Drosophila melanogaster: one gene and its partners. The protein of the gene in region 3 interacts with the protein of the main gene of each other region in a pairwise test. Each region holds a gene or a part of one and is shown on either strand. Other genes may lie near its edges.

The links. The genes of interacting proteins can lie anywhere in the genome.
Region 1: the proteins of CG3708 (region 3) and dah interact in a two-hybrid assay, tested with the Drosophila melanogaster proteins (one large-scale study listed by BioGRID).
Region 2: the proteins of CG3708 (region 3) and ems interact in a two-hybrid assay, tested with the Drosophila melanogaster proteins (one large-scale study listed by BioGRID).

Annotation. Positions count from the first base shown.
Region 1 is NC_004354.4:15,326,285-15,331,850, reverse strand, and holds dah (discontinuous actin hexagon), read right to left. Parts: upstream 3,510-5,566; 5' UTR 3,408-3,509; coding exon 3,179-3,407; intron 3,116-3,178; coding exon 2,899-3,115; intron 2,842-2,898; coding exon 1,984-2,841; intron 1,920-1,983; coding exon 1,802-1,919; intron 1,740-1,801; coding exon 1,580-1,739; intron 1,518-1,579; coding exon 1,150-1,517; 3' UTR 849-1,149; downstream 1-848. Other genes in the region: CG9114 (uncharacterized protein), read left to right, coding at 1-307, 364-824.
Region 2 is NT_033777.3:13,899,824-13,905,468, reverse strand, and holds ems (empty spiracles), read right to left. Parts: upstream 3,617-5,645; 5' UTR 3,291-3,616; coding exon 2,156-3,290; intron 1,866-2,155; coding exon 1,516-1,865; 3' UTR 849-1,515; downstream 1-848. UniProt on the Drosophila melanogaster protein: Acts as a homeotic selector gene controlling antennal and mandibular segment identity.
Region 3 is NC_004354.4:928,298-932,658, reverse strand, and holds CG3708 (uncharacterized protein), read left to right. Parts: upstream 1-2,560; 5' UTR 2,561-2,674; coding exon 2,675-3,763; 3' UTR 3,764-3,861; downstream 3,862-4,361. Other genes in the region: CG3706 (uncharacterized protein), read left to right, coding at 297-1,631; MED22 (mediator complex subunit 22), read right to left, coding at 3,892-4,109, 4,174-4,275, 4,332-4,361.

The DNA of each region.
Region 1 (5,566 bases), about 14 Mb from region 3:
CTTCTTGAGGCAGAGAAACTCATATTGATGGCAACGTACGAGATGGGCGAGGATGCATCCCCTAGGCAAATCCATCTCATTACCTTCGATGTGAAGAAACTGCTCGATAAAACAGAATCGTTGGCACCCACATTTTCGCCCGCCACGCTGCACCAAGACTTTTTGGCCGTTATTATGACGCACACGGCACGTTGCTCCCTGAAATTGGAGTTCCAGTCGGCCCAGGATTGCACGACATTCGAGCAGCTACTCGTCTCCACGCTGCAGTTTCAGTTGATCCAAGCCCAGGAAGCAAACAAGGAGCCGAGTGAGTAGCTTTGTCAAGACCACTTGTTGTCCCTTTTAACTCATAATCCCTTACAGCTTCCGACTTGCTGGACGACAGTGAGCCTGGGTCTCACTTTCAGTCTTCCAACATCGCCGCCGATCCTGTCCAGCGTATTTTCTACAATCGCCAGCCGCAGTCACAGTGGTGTGACACCTTGCTGCTTCGCGACGATCCCGGAAAGCATTGGCATGTGTACGCCAGAACGGACGATCGATTGCGTCTGCTACTGCATCGCCTGACGCGCGATCTCCTCCAGCTGCACTGCAACCTCAATGTGCTAGAGGTCGCTGAGCACAACATGTCGCCTGCCGACATGGAGATGGAGTTGCTAAACAGTCTGTTCGAGGAGATGGACGCCTGGAAGGTTTTGAGTGAGCCGGCAGCCAGTGTGGAGCAGCGCCGGGAGCAGCTGACGCAGCTCCACAAGGCACAAATGGCCAGCGATGTGTTGGCTTCTATGCTATTCACCGATGATGATGATGACAATGGGGCGTAAATGCGTTTTTTTTTTCTTCTCTTTGCATTGGAAAATCTACAAAGTTGATATTTTGTATGTAAATGCTTTGTTAACAATGTGTTTTTTGCATTGTATATTTTTATAAAAACATTTTGTTGTATTGCATTCTTGTCAGAGTTGTAAGTTTACAAATTAAAGCATTTACGCGAATGTTAAAGCACATGGGAAAAGGAAGAAGGATATAATAAATGCATGACTCGGTTGTGTCATTTTGTCACGATTACTTTAGAACAACTTTACAACTTAAAGCTAAGTGGACTTGGTCTGGCTGGAATCGATGGGAGTTGGTATCCGATCCGGATCCTCACGTGCTGATGCGCCGCTGCTGCTCCTCGCTCTTGATGATGCTATCGAGAACGTTCTCCAGATTTTGCGTGGCCGCCGACAGTTCGGCATTATCGCTGTACGAGTCCTCGACGATCTCCTTGACCTTGTGCAGCAGCAGCTTAAAGTTCACCATCTCGGTGTCGCGGCCATCTCCGCCGTTTGCCGGCTGCTGTTCCAGTAGAGCACCCAGCGGCATGGGCAGCGGCAGAGGAGCCGGCAGGGAACCAGGTCCTTGTCCTGGCTGGACACTCGAGCGACGCTGGTCGAACCACAAGCTTATGTCGTTGAGCGAGTAATCCGATTTGTTTGCCTCCAGATAGCTGCGATTCAAGTCGGCGCCATTTACTACAAGAAACGATTAACTTAGTGGAGCTGTCTCATGGCTCTGTTGAAGGTTCTCTTCTTACTGGAGTGCGTGAGATTGGCACCCACGGGCGCATACATGTCGAATAGCATCTGTCGCTGAGGCGTGCTGGAGCTAAGGAACGTGGAGCTGACTAGGGGCGCAGCTGAAGGCGCCACTTGGGCAGCTGGCGCAGGTGGCGGCGAAGTTACCGCTGAGGCATGCTGCAAGTGTATATAAATGGAGTTAGCTCAGCTTAAATGGGCCGAATGTTTGGAAAACTCACTGATAGCTGTCGCATATCCTCGATAATCTGCAGCAGAAAGCACTGATGGGCGCTCAGAAACTGCGATATTTCCGAACTAGATGCGGTGGCCACTGTTTGCAGCTGGGTTTCCAGCTTCCTGAAATGCAAGAGAACCTTAAGGCTTGGCTAACAAGTGTGGCGAAAGAAGGGAAAACACCCACGCATTTTGCAAAAGCAATCGATCGATGATGGACTGCAGCCTGCTGGACGCCTCGCTGGCTAGACCCGTCAGGGAGCAGAGCTCCTGCTGCTGTTGCTGCAGGACAACTGTGCGGTCCTTCTCCTGGCACTGACTGCGCACACTGCGCGTCTCTGCGGGAATGGGCGTGGCAGCGGATTGACCCAAGGCGGGCCCACTCTCCTGCGCATTACAGAAGCCGCGACGCTCCTCCTCCTGTGTTTTGCGCGGCATCACCAGCCAGCCGCACAGCCTGGCCAGGTGGCGGGTCCAACGCAATGGCGGCTGATCCTCCACGAAGACCTCGCACATCCGATGACCCGGCTCGTGGCGACCACCAGCGAAGCCCACTGCAAAGCAGGGCAGGCACAACGATATATCCCTACACACCTGACACCGGAAACGTATGCCCACAATGTGCTCCTTGCGGCAGCCGGCACAAGAATTACTGTGAATCAAATGCTCGGTGTCCTCGATGCGTTTCACCAGTGCCAGCAGATTGCCATAGATCAGGAATCTCGTCTGGACACCCGCTCCCGTCCAGAGTTTGTGGAACTGCGGCTCGGTCAGTCCACCAACGCCATGCGGACAGCGGGCAAAGCACTGCTCCATAGCCAACGGAAGATTGTGGACGCCATAGGCCTTGGCCTCGCCCAAATAGCTGAGTAACTTGCTCAGCGTGGCTAGGAGCTGTTCGAATGCATATCTGGAGATGATCTGCGACTTGGGATCGGCCAGCAGGCCAAAGATGTCGCCCACCAGGTGATCGCTGCTATATAGCTTGCACAGCAGTATGAAGGTGATCCTGATCTCTAACAGGGATATGGAGTGTCTGCGTTGCCTAGCGAAACCAATCAAATATCAGACATATTCTTAAGATGCCAGAAACTCAACCCACGGATCGTAGACATTCCAGAAGAAGTTGGCCAACAGCCCGGTTGCCCTGTCCAGTTTATAGTTCGCATCCTGGTTGAAATGGCCTAGTTTCTCGCAGGCAAAGTATACATCGTGCAGCAGGGAGGTCAACTGGAATGGAGGAACCATCAGTTCCAGGCCACCACTCAAGTTATGGCGATCCAAAATGGCCAAAACCAGCTTGTAGGGGATTTTTCCAGCTGCAATTTGAAGGTTAATCCTTGGGGACTCCTTCGAATGGACCACCTACGCGACTGACTCACTGTGAAATATCTTTTGCAGCGCCACAAATTTACTGGCGCACCGGTATACCGTGTACTTGTAATTCCCGTAATCCCGCTGCAAGTCATCCATGATGGTGGATAGCTCTTTGTCCACCTGTTGCTTTTGTCCTTGGCCACCTTGGGATCCCTTTTCGCGGGCAATGGACGCCACGGCCTCGGCGCTATTTCGCAGTTTTGTCAGCTGCACGGGCACCGACGATCTCAGCATTTTGTCAGGCGTTTATTGTTATATATTTCCCTTGATTCTCGAATTAATTTCAGTCTCTTTTAAACGCGTCGTTTCTCGCGATCTCTTCCTCTTCCGTTAGCGCAAAAGTCAAATTGTGTGGCGTGAGGTGGCAACGCCGCGCGTGTTATCGATATCACTTCGCCGAACCGTTAGCGCTTTAAATTTGATTCAAAATTATTATTATCATTAATTAAGTCATCCGTTCGTTCTAAGAATATTTGACCATGATATAATAATTGGTAAATAAGTTTGAGCAACGGGAAATGTAAACTGAACAACTTGGGTTCACCATAGTATTTTCCCAATTTCAAAAACAAAACAAAGTTATTTAAAAACCCTTCTTTTGAATGCGAATAATTACCCAAAACGAGGAAATGGAAAGAGTGTCACATAGATTTTAAAATTAAATATATATTTTATGTATATTTGCATCATTCCATTGCAATTACATTCACTTATGCTATTTTGTTTTTCATTTACTTTGCTTTCGATTTAAAATAGTGGGTTTCTTATCATTTCGCTTGTTGTTTTTTGTTTGCTTATATCAATATTATAATATGCCAAGTTTATATGTGAGTGTTGTGGCGGGGCGGGGCGGGGCTGGGCGTTCGAAGAAGGGTTCGTAATTAGTTTATTTAACTTTTTTTTTTGCCTTTTAAAAGCATTCTCCCGCTTCCGTATGCGAATCCACGACAAACGCACACAGATGTTTGCGTTCACATTATATCAATCACTAATTATAATATGTGTTTGGGCGTGTGTGTGTGTGTGTTTATATGTATGTATATAAAGATCGTTCGCTCTTCATTTGCAATGCGCGTTTGCCATTTATGCTAGGGGGGGCGTGAGGCGAGATATAAATTTCCATCGATTTGCTTAGTTAAAAGTACGGCCATAATCGTAGCTGATGGGATTGGGGCACATGGATGTTGGGGATGTTCCTAACTCCACCTGAATCCACTGCTCTCGTCGACTGAAGGATTCAAGTGAAGGCTCGATTTTTACAAGGTTTAAGGTATAGTTTTAGCTCACTTAATTGCACATACTTCTATAGATTCTATATGTATAAAGTTCCTTTCTTTCAGATTAAAGTTCTTTCTTTCGCTGCGACTGGTTTGCTGGCTGTGTTTCTGTTTTGGTTCATCGAGTTATTTGAATTGCTCGTTTGATTTGTATCTGCAATTGGTTTTCAGTGTGATGGCGGCTTGGTTTGCGGTTGAGAACTTGAAACCTGTCTGCTTAGAGTATAGAAAGTTAAGGGTCTGTCTGCAAATCAATTTAGCATTTGTATATTTCGAAATGTTAACTAAAATGATCATAAGGTACGAAATCAAAGCGAAACCACATCGAGATCCATCCAATGTGGCTTTGTTCTTCATTTTCGGGGGCGGTCGGTCGACAAATAGCGCTGCTTCAGAGTTGAATTGAATAAATTATGCTATGCTAAAAGTTGGGCTACAAGGTTTCTCTGTTCAGTTTGCACTTATACAAATTATTATTATTATTATGATAGATAGAATAGTTTACAAAACTAGACTAACTTAGATAGTATAGCATTAGCTACGGGGCTTACAGCTATATTTATTTACAATGTTATTATATCTTAATTTAGTTAATATCTAATTTGGTAACTAATTGCTGGCTTGTTATGTACAAATGCCTGTTTTTGTTTTTGTTTTTTGTTTTCGCTAAACAAAATCAACTATAGGTAAACATAAAAAAAATTGCGTTTTAAATTGTATAATTTTCGTTTGCTTTTGCTATTAAATATATATATATATATATAGATATATATATACATCTATATTTTTATATATATATATATATCTATATATATATATTTATGTAAATGTATGTATTATATTAAAAATAAAAATATATACACAAATATTATTATATACATAAATATAAATATATATATGTATATATGTTTTATATGTAAAATTATGAAGTATAAGGGTATCTTGACAAAAAAGTTCTTTTGTAGAGACATAGAAAATTATGCTCCTGATTTGTTTTTAGGTGGCGGCGACGTCTTGCCCAGGTTTCACATCTCCTCTTGCCTTTAATGAATAAAACTGACATATATTGGATTAGCTTGTGTTTGGGTGTGCACATTTCGCAAGTTAGACTTCGGC
Region 2 (5,645 bases), on a different chromosome or scaffold from region 3:
TGTTAACAGCTAGTAATTAGACTCGTTATGTCCGTTAATTAGCCATATCAGCCGGACCAATCTAGTTTGCAGTTTGCCCATTGCAATTAGCCACTGCATATTCATTAGGCCACATTCGATAGCCGATTTCAGTTAGCTGATAGCCGATTTGGCGATAATGAAAACTGCGCTTATATACCGCCACAGTTTTCGCATAAATTTGTGGTTCAATAATCATAAATTTGGCTTTTAGATCATTAGCACACCTCGAGTGGCTTGTTAACCAGTTTCCAAAGCCACCCCAACCCCCAAAAGCCCCCGTTCAGCATCCACCCCCGCCCCTTTGATCTCACACGAACTGCGCTCAATTAAATTCTACAATAAAACACGATTTGCATTTTAAATTGTGCAATTAAAATGCTTATGAAATCTATAAGAAATAACGATCGCTAAATGCATTTTATAGCCGCCTCCTTCAGCTATCCCGCTCTTTTCAGTCGCGGCCGCACCCCCTCAATCCCCTTTTCCAGCGCACCTGTCACCATTTCCAGTGGACAGAAACAGCAACAACAATGTTAAATGTCACACGCTAATTAATTGACGGCGCATAATTTTTTACTCTGTCACACAGTGGGACGAACTCAATTAAAAAGGGGCGGAGATGCCAAGGCTTAAACAAGAAAAAATAAACTAAAGTAAAATATTGTTGAAGGAAAGTAATAAAGCTGAATGAGAAGTTAAAGTTCACACCCATAACTCAAAACATACCAATATTGTTTAAATTATAAATAAATTATCTAGTATTCTGGATAATAAGTGGTTGCCCCCAACACATAAATCAATCAAACATTTCTCTTTCGATTTCTTTTCATAATGAATATTTTATATTTTATATGATCATATTCGTTTGTGTTTCTTACAATCGTATTAGCTTAGGATGTAGTTACTAGCAACTAGGGCTTTATATTAGACGGCTTTAAATAATATCCAGCTGCAGTTGAGGGACTCTAGAGGTTCGTGCTTAAGACTAAACATAAATAAATGCTAGATCGTCATACAATATACAAGAATTATACAATAGCTAGTGGATCGAGTACGATTTGTTTTGAAGAATTCACTAATTAAAAGTAATGTCATGAATATTTACAGGCTTAAGTCATAAAATTTGTACAGTTATAGTTGGTGGTGTCTAGCCTAGGTTTATTTTTTCAGTGTTTCTTTTTTTGCATTTGATATTTGGGAAAGAAAGGAAACAACTTGCATTCTTTGAGCTCTACTCAACCTCGAAACTTCGCAAGGATTTGGCACGGATCTTGAGAGAGAAGTGTGGATGGAGAGAAAGGGTCTCTAATACTTTCCTATCTATATACACTTAGCCTAACGCCTTGGGATCGCTCTAAGAATATATCACAACAAAACAAACTATGTTACTCTCGCCGAGATTCGACTGGGAACCCTCGATAACTGGAACTGGACTGCATTCGCCAGGATAAGGAACTCACGGACCGCCGCAGGACTATCTCCTGGCCGCTTCTCTCAGTGGCTGGCGTCCAGCTCGTGCTCCTCATCGCTGGGACACTCGTCCATCTCCATGTCGATCAGTTCGTCGTCGTCCTCGTCGCCGCTGCCGTTGTGCATATTCCGCTGCGATCCTCCCTCGCCGCCCTTCTCATCCTCCTGCTGCATCCGCTTGTGCTTGGTGCGTCGGTTCTGGAACCACACCTTCACCTGCGTCTCGGACAGATTGAGGTTTTGGGCCAGGGCCTTTCTCTCTGCCCCCACTACGTACTGGTTGCTCTCAAAGGCGTGCTCCAGCTTCAGCAGCTGCGACGGCGAGAAGGCGGTGCGGATGCGTTTCGGTTTGCGGAACGGGGGCACCAGGAAACCTTGAAAGAGGCAAAGAAGAAAGGGTTTCGGTTAGTCATCGGTATTTAAGATCATAACTCACAGCAATAAATTAGCAATGACAATATAATGCAATTATAAGAGACTCATCAAAACTAATTTAAAACATATTAGCATCTTTCATTTCTTATTACATTTATGAAGGTTTAGAATTATTACTTTAAAGAAATTTCTCATTTTTTGGCTTCAATTTGGACTCCAAGAACTATTTTTTTCCCTAAATCTCCTTTTTTTGTTTCGCATATAAAGAATCATTCCAAAAGATACTTACTTCCAGGGAATCGGTGTGGGAAGATCCTTCCATGGCGGCTGAGCAGCCAGGGGTACAGCTGATAGCTATCCCTGGCCATGCCTGGATTGGGCATAAACTGGGCGGCATGGGGCGGCAGGCCGGCGGCAGCAGCGGCGGCGGCCGCTGGACCAAGCACATGACCCGCTTGCAGGGCGGCGGCCATCTGGAACTGGGCAGCGGCAATGAGATGCGGATTGTGCTGAGGCGGCAGCTCCGGCGGAGCGTTGATGTAGGGCGGCAGCGCCTTGATGTCCGGCAAGCCGGGCTGACCCTGCGGCATCGGTGGTCCTCCGGGTCCCATGGGAAAGGGGCGAACGAGTCCAGCGGGCGGCATGCCCGGCATCATCATGGGTCCAGCTCCTCCGGGATGCATCATGGCGGGCTTTGGATAATTCGGGGGCGGCTGCTGCTGTTGCTGCTGTGGCGGTGTGGCATGTGGACTGCTGATCAGCAGAGTGGGCGAAGACGAGGGCTGCGAGGACTGGGGGCTCACGGATTTGGGAGGCGTGTGCGGTGGCTGGATGCGCTGGGCGGGATTCTCGGCCTGCTCCATGGCAGGTGGTGCAGGTGAGCGTTCCCGCTTGAGGGAGACGGCCATCTGGGGCTGCTCCGTTTCGGGGGAGAGGCGTGTCTGCAGCGGACTCAGGCCGCTGGCCATGGCGGCATTGTGGTGCAGCCTCTGCAGCAGCTCCTGAATGTCCTGGTGGCTCTTGGGTGTGCCCGGATGTTGCTGCTGCATGAGGAGGTGCTGGTGGAGCACATGTTGCTGCGCAGGCGATAGATGCGGATGCGGATGTGGTGCCTGCAAATGCTGCTGCTGAGCATGCGGATGCGGATAGGGCAGTCCGTGGGCAGGAGGAGCCATCAGATGGTGCGGGGGCGAGCCTGGGATCAAGGTGAGTGTGGCTGGTGGCGTTTGGGGCGGCGAACCGGGCACATTGCGCTCGCCGGGCGGCGGACTCTGGGGACCGGATAGATCGGGCGTCGAATTGCCGCCGGCGGTGCTGACATCATTGCCCACAATGGACTCGATGCTGAAACCGATCTTCTGCTTTGGTGTGGGCATCATGACGGCTGCAGCGGCGGTGGGAACCGGCGGAATCATCTTAGTCATAAATACGGCGGTTAGTTCGGCTATGTTGGCGGCTTTTTTTTCGAGGGTTTAAGCACGGTTTTCTGTTTAATCTAATCTGTTCTGTTTGTCTAATCCTCTGGGAAGTCCTTATTTGTAACTCTCTATGTTTCGTTGATTTTCTCACACTAAGCGACGCATTGGAAACGCTTTCATATATACGTTTAGTTACTTTATTAATCACACACACACTCGGGTTGTCAAGACTTGTGCTCTACGGCGATCGACGCGCTCGTTTTTCTTATTTTTTGTGTCGGAAGACGGAGAATATAGACGTGTGCTCTCGACGACGTTCGATGTCTGAATAAATCCGGTAAGCCCGGCAACACCACCAAGTGTGCGCTACTCGAAGAGAGCTGAGCTGCGGCGAGTCTTCTCTCTTCGCCAGTACAGGCCAAACCAGTTTATCGGGCCAGAGCGGGAGGCACTGTGCTCGGTGTAGTATGGCCGTCTTCTTTGCGCGCGCCTTGTGGATTTTATCTACCCTGCAGATATGGCCTAGCTGCGAAGGAGCGAGTGAAATGGCTGCTTTTCGAGGGGCGGGTCCAGTTCGGTGCGCTGCCTTTACCGAATTTTCTGCATATGGCTTCCGTTCAAACAGCCACCACTATACGACTTTGTTGTTGCTCTTGGCCTTTGTGTAATTTGGCTTAAACTGCCATTCATAGTTCTTGTTTTTGCGGTTGCATTTCTGGGCCGGAACGAGCGCTAAATGGAAATCTAATGCCAGGTGGGCAAAATGTCTCTGTTTGCGGACTCTGGCCAAATTTGCAGGAAGTTCGAAAAGGGTTTTCGAGGCTTACAGAGGATGTGCGTTTTAAATATTTCCCTTGCTCAGGGGGATTTTTGTTGTGCAAATTTATAGTTTAGCAAGGATTTGTTAGACGCTCTTTATATATTTCTGCATAAAACTAAAGATTAAGGAATATAAGTATTTTGTTAATGGTGTTTTTAAAGTTCGTAAACCCCATTCAACAACATGGCGTAAAATTTATAATTTAAAATACTTATTTAATTTATGATATTATATATTAACTTTCCCTATTTTAAAACGTCCCGGTTTTCGTACAGCTGACAATCCAGTCCACATTAGCAATTCCACACCACGGATGCACTTCAAACTTGCTGTTTCCATAAATCATCTACGAAACTTGATCGGGACAGTTTTATGAAATGTGCTACCGGGTTTATTTTTCGCTACGATTTAAATGTTAATTTTCAGGCATTACATTTTTTTTTTGGCACACGACAAAGTTTGCATAATTTATGTAGTGTCCGAATCGCAGTTCCAAATCAAAATCAGAGCAGGTTCATCAATTGTCGGGACGTGCCAAATGTCTCACTTCGTTTCCTCGGTCAACACTATAACATTTCCTATCAAACCCCAAGAGTTTTTCAAAAACAATGGAATAATATTCGGTAGTGCTATTTTCACACTCTGTTATCAGCCGGAGCCGTCAAATTCGTCGCCGGATTTCTGAGATTAATGGGCTAGGAATCGGCGAGAGCACAACAACAGCTTGTGCGATAGATTAAAATCTATCAAATTTTTATGGCCGCTAATTAAGCCACGCATATTTACCCATAGCTTTCGGTTCGAATCGACGCAAGGCATAAACAACTTTCGAGTCCATTAAAGCGTAATTATGTTGACTAATGGATTTTGATTACAAGGCGAAATGCTGTCGAAAGTTCAGCGATTTTTAGCTGAGTCGGTTTCATTTGCGGTCTAATCTGCAAAACGTGTGTGTAGCTAATTCGATTTGAAACTCGGCATCTGAGCTTTAGTTTTGATTTTGTGAAAGCTTCATTATAAGTAAAAAAAGTATTGGTCGAAATGATAAATATTAAATATAAATATCAAAAATATTAAATTAAATAAATATTTAGAAGTAATACTCTGATATCTATTTAATCAATTGTGGTTAGAAGAATCCTTGCAATCAGACGGCCAACATTTCGACGAATCAAGCATAATTGAGTTGAAAGAAAACGCAATTTACCTTGTATTTTCGGTAATTTCACACGCCCACTGAGCTGAGTACCTCACCGCAGGAGCTCCAGGACTCGAAGGACCTGCAGCCAGCACAATCGTGCTGCTAATGAGCGAATAAAGATATCCTCTGGCCGCAGGACCAGCGGCAGTCAAGTGGCCAACTGGAGGACTCGGCAGTTGATGACCCCCCGCCAGAGTTCGCAAAAAGGAATGAAAACCGTAAAAAATGCAGCCAACAAAGGGCACAAATGCATTTATTAGATGGAAATAAAGAGGAACACAATGCAGCAGCCCGAAAGGTGTCAAAATCAACAATTTTCAGCCTGCAAACAATTCCACAG
Region 3 (4,361 bases):
AGATCCAGATTTAGCGAGCTAGTCATGCATCGCCGCAAAGCCCGTCGATTCCGACCCGATAAGCCCAGTCCGAGGAGGTGGGGCCGAAAAGTGGGTTTAGACGGTGGCGGCTTATCGAGTGGCGATAAGCGGGACACAAGACCCACTTCCCCACACATTGTCCAGTGCAGGCCTCGCAGTCGCGTCCAATTGGCCAAGCCGTTCGGTAACGGAGCATTTTTGACGAGGATCGACATTCCGCGGAACTCCAAAGAGGATTTAATTTTGAACAGATTTTGAGCATCTTGGGACACAACATGATCGCAGCGCTCGGGCTGATCTTCGGCATTCTAACGGCCTTGGTGGTCGTGGCACTTAAGCTACTGGGCCTGAAGCCGCCACTAATCTTCGGCAAGTACCCACTGAAAGGCATCTTTTACCGGGTGAAGTTCTGGATCGCCCTGCTTGTCCTTCGCCGCCTGAGGTACCGCATCTACCGTCGGAACGAGGAGCTGCTCGGCTCCGAGGAGCACCTGGCCAAGGTCGACAGGCCGCAGCAGCTCAGCAACGACCCGAAGAGCTATGACGTGGTCAGCTTCATGGCGGCCAACAAGGAGGGCCAGAAACTAATGGTCACCTTGGAGCGAAGGAGGCGCGGAGTCCTCAAGGCGGCACTGTACCTGTGGCTTCCCGAAAGCGGCCTGTTCAGTTCGCCGAATCTGCCCGATATGGTATACTTCACCACCGCGGATGGAGCGGAGAGCAACGCGTTCCAGGGTGGAGGCTTCCACGTCTACCAGGAGGCATCTATGCGTGTGTGGCGGCTCAAGTACTCCGGACTGCTGAAAACTCAAGGGCCGGACGTGCAGGACGTAGCCGTGGACTTGGACCTCCGTTTCGAAAGCTCCTCCGCTGAGCACTTCGACTACAACAGAGATCTGAGCAGCGCCCTGATAGCCGACTCCATAGCCAGAGAGGCCTGGAACGAAAAGTTCTACAGCCTGCTGCGCAGCGTCAACCACATCGTAGAGAAGCGCACCCACTACGAACAGAACGGAGAACTGGCCGGCCAGGTCACGCTCGATGGCAAGGAGCTGGCGCTGAAAATGGTGGGCTTCCGGGACCACAGCTTCGGCACCGAGCGCTGCCTAAGCTCCATCAACCGGTACGTGTACTTTGCCCTCTTTATGGACGATGGCAGCAGCATGGTGGTGGGCAGCCTCAGTCAGCCGTCCTTCTTCCTGTCCTCCCTGAAGGTGGGCTACGTGTGCAGCCCCGAGCGGCAGTATCAGCCGCTGACCGGGAGCAACTTCGAGCTGTACTCGTACGGCGAAAAGGGAACGCCGCCGCAGCACCAGAATTTCATTGTGCGCACCGAGGAGCGGGAGTACCTCGTGCAAATCCAGGTGGAGGCCTCCGCGCTGCGCTACGTCGGCGGCGACTGGGAGTCTAAGGTGTTCAACCAGTTTGTGGCCTGCACGGTCAACGGAGTTCCCGGCCAGGGCCACGCCGAGTTCCTGTACCGCCACAAGGGCGGCAGGCCGGAGGATATATCGTCCGGGGACCCCGGCTGGTACCAGGACATCAAGCGCTTCGAGAGAAGCCTCTCGTTGCTGGAAGAGGAGGGCCAGGACGAAGACTTCATCTTCTAGGACGCCGACGAATTGTTTTTGTTTTCAGTTTAAGATAGCATGTAAAAGTATGGGGGAGACCCATCCTATCAAAATAAAGAGATTTTGTTTGAATGACATTCGAGATTCTGAAGTCATTGGCCGCGCTGATGTCATCGGTAAGTCCAAACTAATTCAGTTAACCAACAATCCAACAGCAATATCCACTGGAGGCCATCCGGTGCAGCTGCAATCTGGTGGACTCGGGTCGATGAGGAAGATTACCGAATCGCTGGTGGAGGAATTGGACCCCCCGTGAGGATTAGTCGCCCATAAATTAGCATGCGACAGACGAACGGATTAGATTGGACAGCTACTTCGGTTTTTCTCCCAATAAATAATGGCGATTCGGGCCATCGGTTTATGGCACCCAAAAGACAACGGGCCCCACTTATCGCTCCGTCGGGCCAATAAAACCCAAGACCAGGCACCAAGACTGGGCCCAAGTGCCCAGGTGTCGCAGATAAGAGGCGAGCGGCGGGGCAGATAGCTTCAATCCAACAAAATAAACCATGCTCGGGATCTGAATGGAGCATTATGCTGCCGTCCGGTTCCGACCTGCCGCAATGTCAGCTTATGGTGGGCCGATAAGTGCCGGGCATGACCCTCCCTTCAGTGTCCAGTCCACAGCCCATATCTGGGCTCATGAGCAGGTAGCTCCGATAACGCAACCGCCGACAGATATTGGCCACCGATTTGCCCGGAATTCGGCAAATCATGCACTGTTTCTGGAATTCGCCTTCATTAATTATGCACGTAACTCTGAAGTGGTATTCCTCGTAGGCGAAATTATTTGTTAGATTACGCAGTTATTGTAATCAAAAATGCGATTGCTTCTGGGCAAATCCAAGGAATCATCAGCCGAATTTTCGTTCCCAGTAGTAGGCCGGTTTCTGTGGAAATCAAGGAACAGCTTTGATCTAGCATAGTAGTTTCCAAGTGCCCAGTCGCAGAGCTGGAATATACTTGTAGATTTATATACATATATGTTGCCAAATTTCGAAGTTATTGCACCGAATTGCACAATGATTGGGATGGCTGACAGCGCGGAGGGGGTTACCCAGGAAGACAGCCACACGGAGTCGAGGGCAGACGGCATCAGCGGGTCCTTGCGCTCCCTGGGCACATATACCCAGGAGTCCACAGAGCCGGCTTTGAGTCCGGCGGACCTTCCCGCCCGCAGCCGGAAGGCCTTTCTGCGGCACATGATCGGCCAGCTGGCGGAGCCCGTGCAGAACCGCATACGGGCACTGCGGCACAATCAGCTGCAACAGGTACGCATTTCGGAGCAGTTCTTCCGGGAAGTCTACGAGCTGGAGCGACGTTTCTACGGCCAGAGCTGCGCGCTCTTCGATGCGAGGCGGGATATTTTGGAGGGTTCGGTGGAGCCACCGATCCAAACGGAGAAGACCTGGCCCGAGGACCCGCAGGATGCTCTGTACCTGGACTTCGGGAACAACGAGGAGCTGCGACAGCTGAGGCAAAAACTGGCTCCGGTTTCGCCGACTACGCTGGGTGTTCCACGCTTTTGGCTGACAGTTTTCCAGAACGTGCCCCTGCTCTCGGAGTTGGTCCAGGATCACGACGAGCCGCTTCTGGAGAGCCTAATGGATGTGCGCCTGGCTTACGACCAGGACAGCTACATGGTCATCTTTCAGTTTCGGCCCAATAGCTTCCTGCACGATTCCTCGCTGCTGCTCACGAAGCGCTACTTTCTGCAGCACTCGGCGGACCCGGAGTATCCCTTTCTGTTCGAAGGGCCCGAAATAGTTCGTTGCGAAGGCTGCCACATCCACTGGCGCGATGGCTCCAATCTCACTCTCCAAACGGTGGAAAGCAGGCGAAGGAACAGAGCACACCGAGTCACCAAGGTCATGCCTCGGGAGTCCTTCTTTCGCTTCTTTGCTCCGCCGCAGGCCTTGGACCTGTCGCTCGCGGATGAAAAGACCAAGCTGATCCTTGGCAACGATTTCGAAGTGGGCTTCCTGCTACGCACCCAAATCGTCCCGAAGGCGGTGCTCTTTTACACGGGCGACCTAGTTGACAGCCTGAGCGCGGCCTCTCCGGACAGTCGCTCCTTGTCCTCGGAGGCGGAACAGGAGCAGGTCTTGTGAGTGCGACGCGACTAGCTGTTTGCTAAACAAAATTTACAAGTGAATGTGGTAATGATTTCTTATTAAATTCTACAGTTCGGCCAAAGCCAGTTCATCACAAATAAGGTGAACCCCTTCCCCTCCTAGCGCTACTTAAAAATGCTGGTGTAGTACTCCTCCTCCAGGTCGTACAAGTCCATGGCCATTTCGTCCCTAAGTTTCATCAGCTTCTTGTCGCACTCGCTCTGTGTGTTCCTGAACAGCTGCGAATTGTTTGTGATGGCCTCGTTGACCGAGTGAAAGTCGTTGAGGATTAGGTACTGTTTTAGGTCGGCCACCAGCTTCATCAGAGACTCGCCGGCACGGACTATAAAGCGGAATGCATGAAGGAAATGGCTCGAATCTGGTTCCCAGGGAGTGGATTTACTCACCCATGTTGGCCGCGCGGACCTGCATTTCCAGGGCATCCTGTTCGCACTGCGTGGTCTTCGAAATCTGGCTGTGGCTCTCACGGCGCGCCAGCTTGAGTATTTCTGGAGGAGAACACGGTATTACAATCTATTGCTCGGAGCAACTGAGCCGCACTTACCTTCAAAATTCTCCAGCATGCTGCGAACGT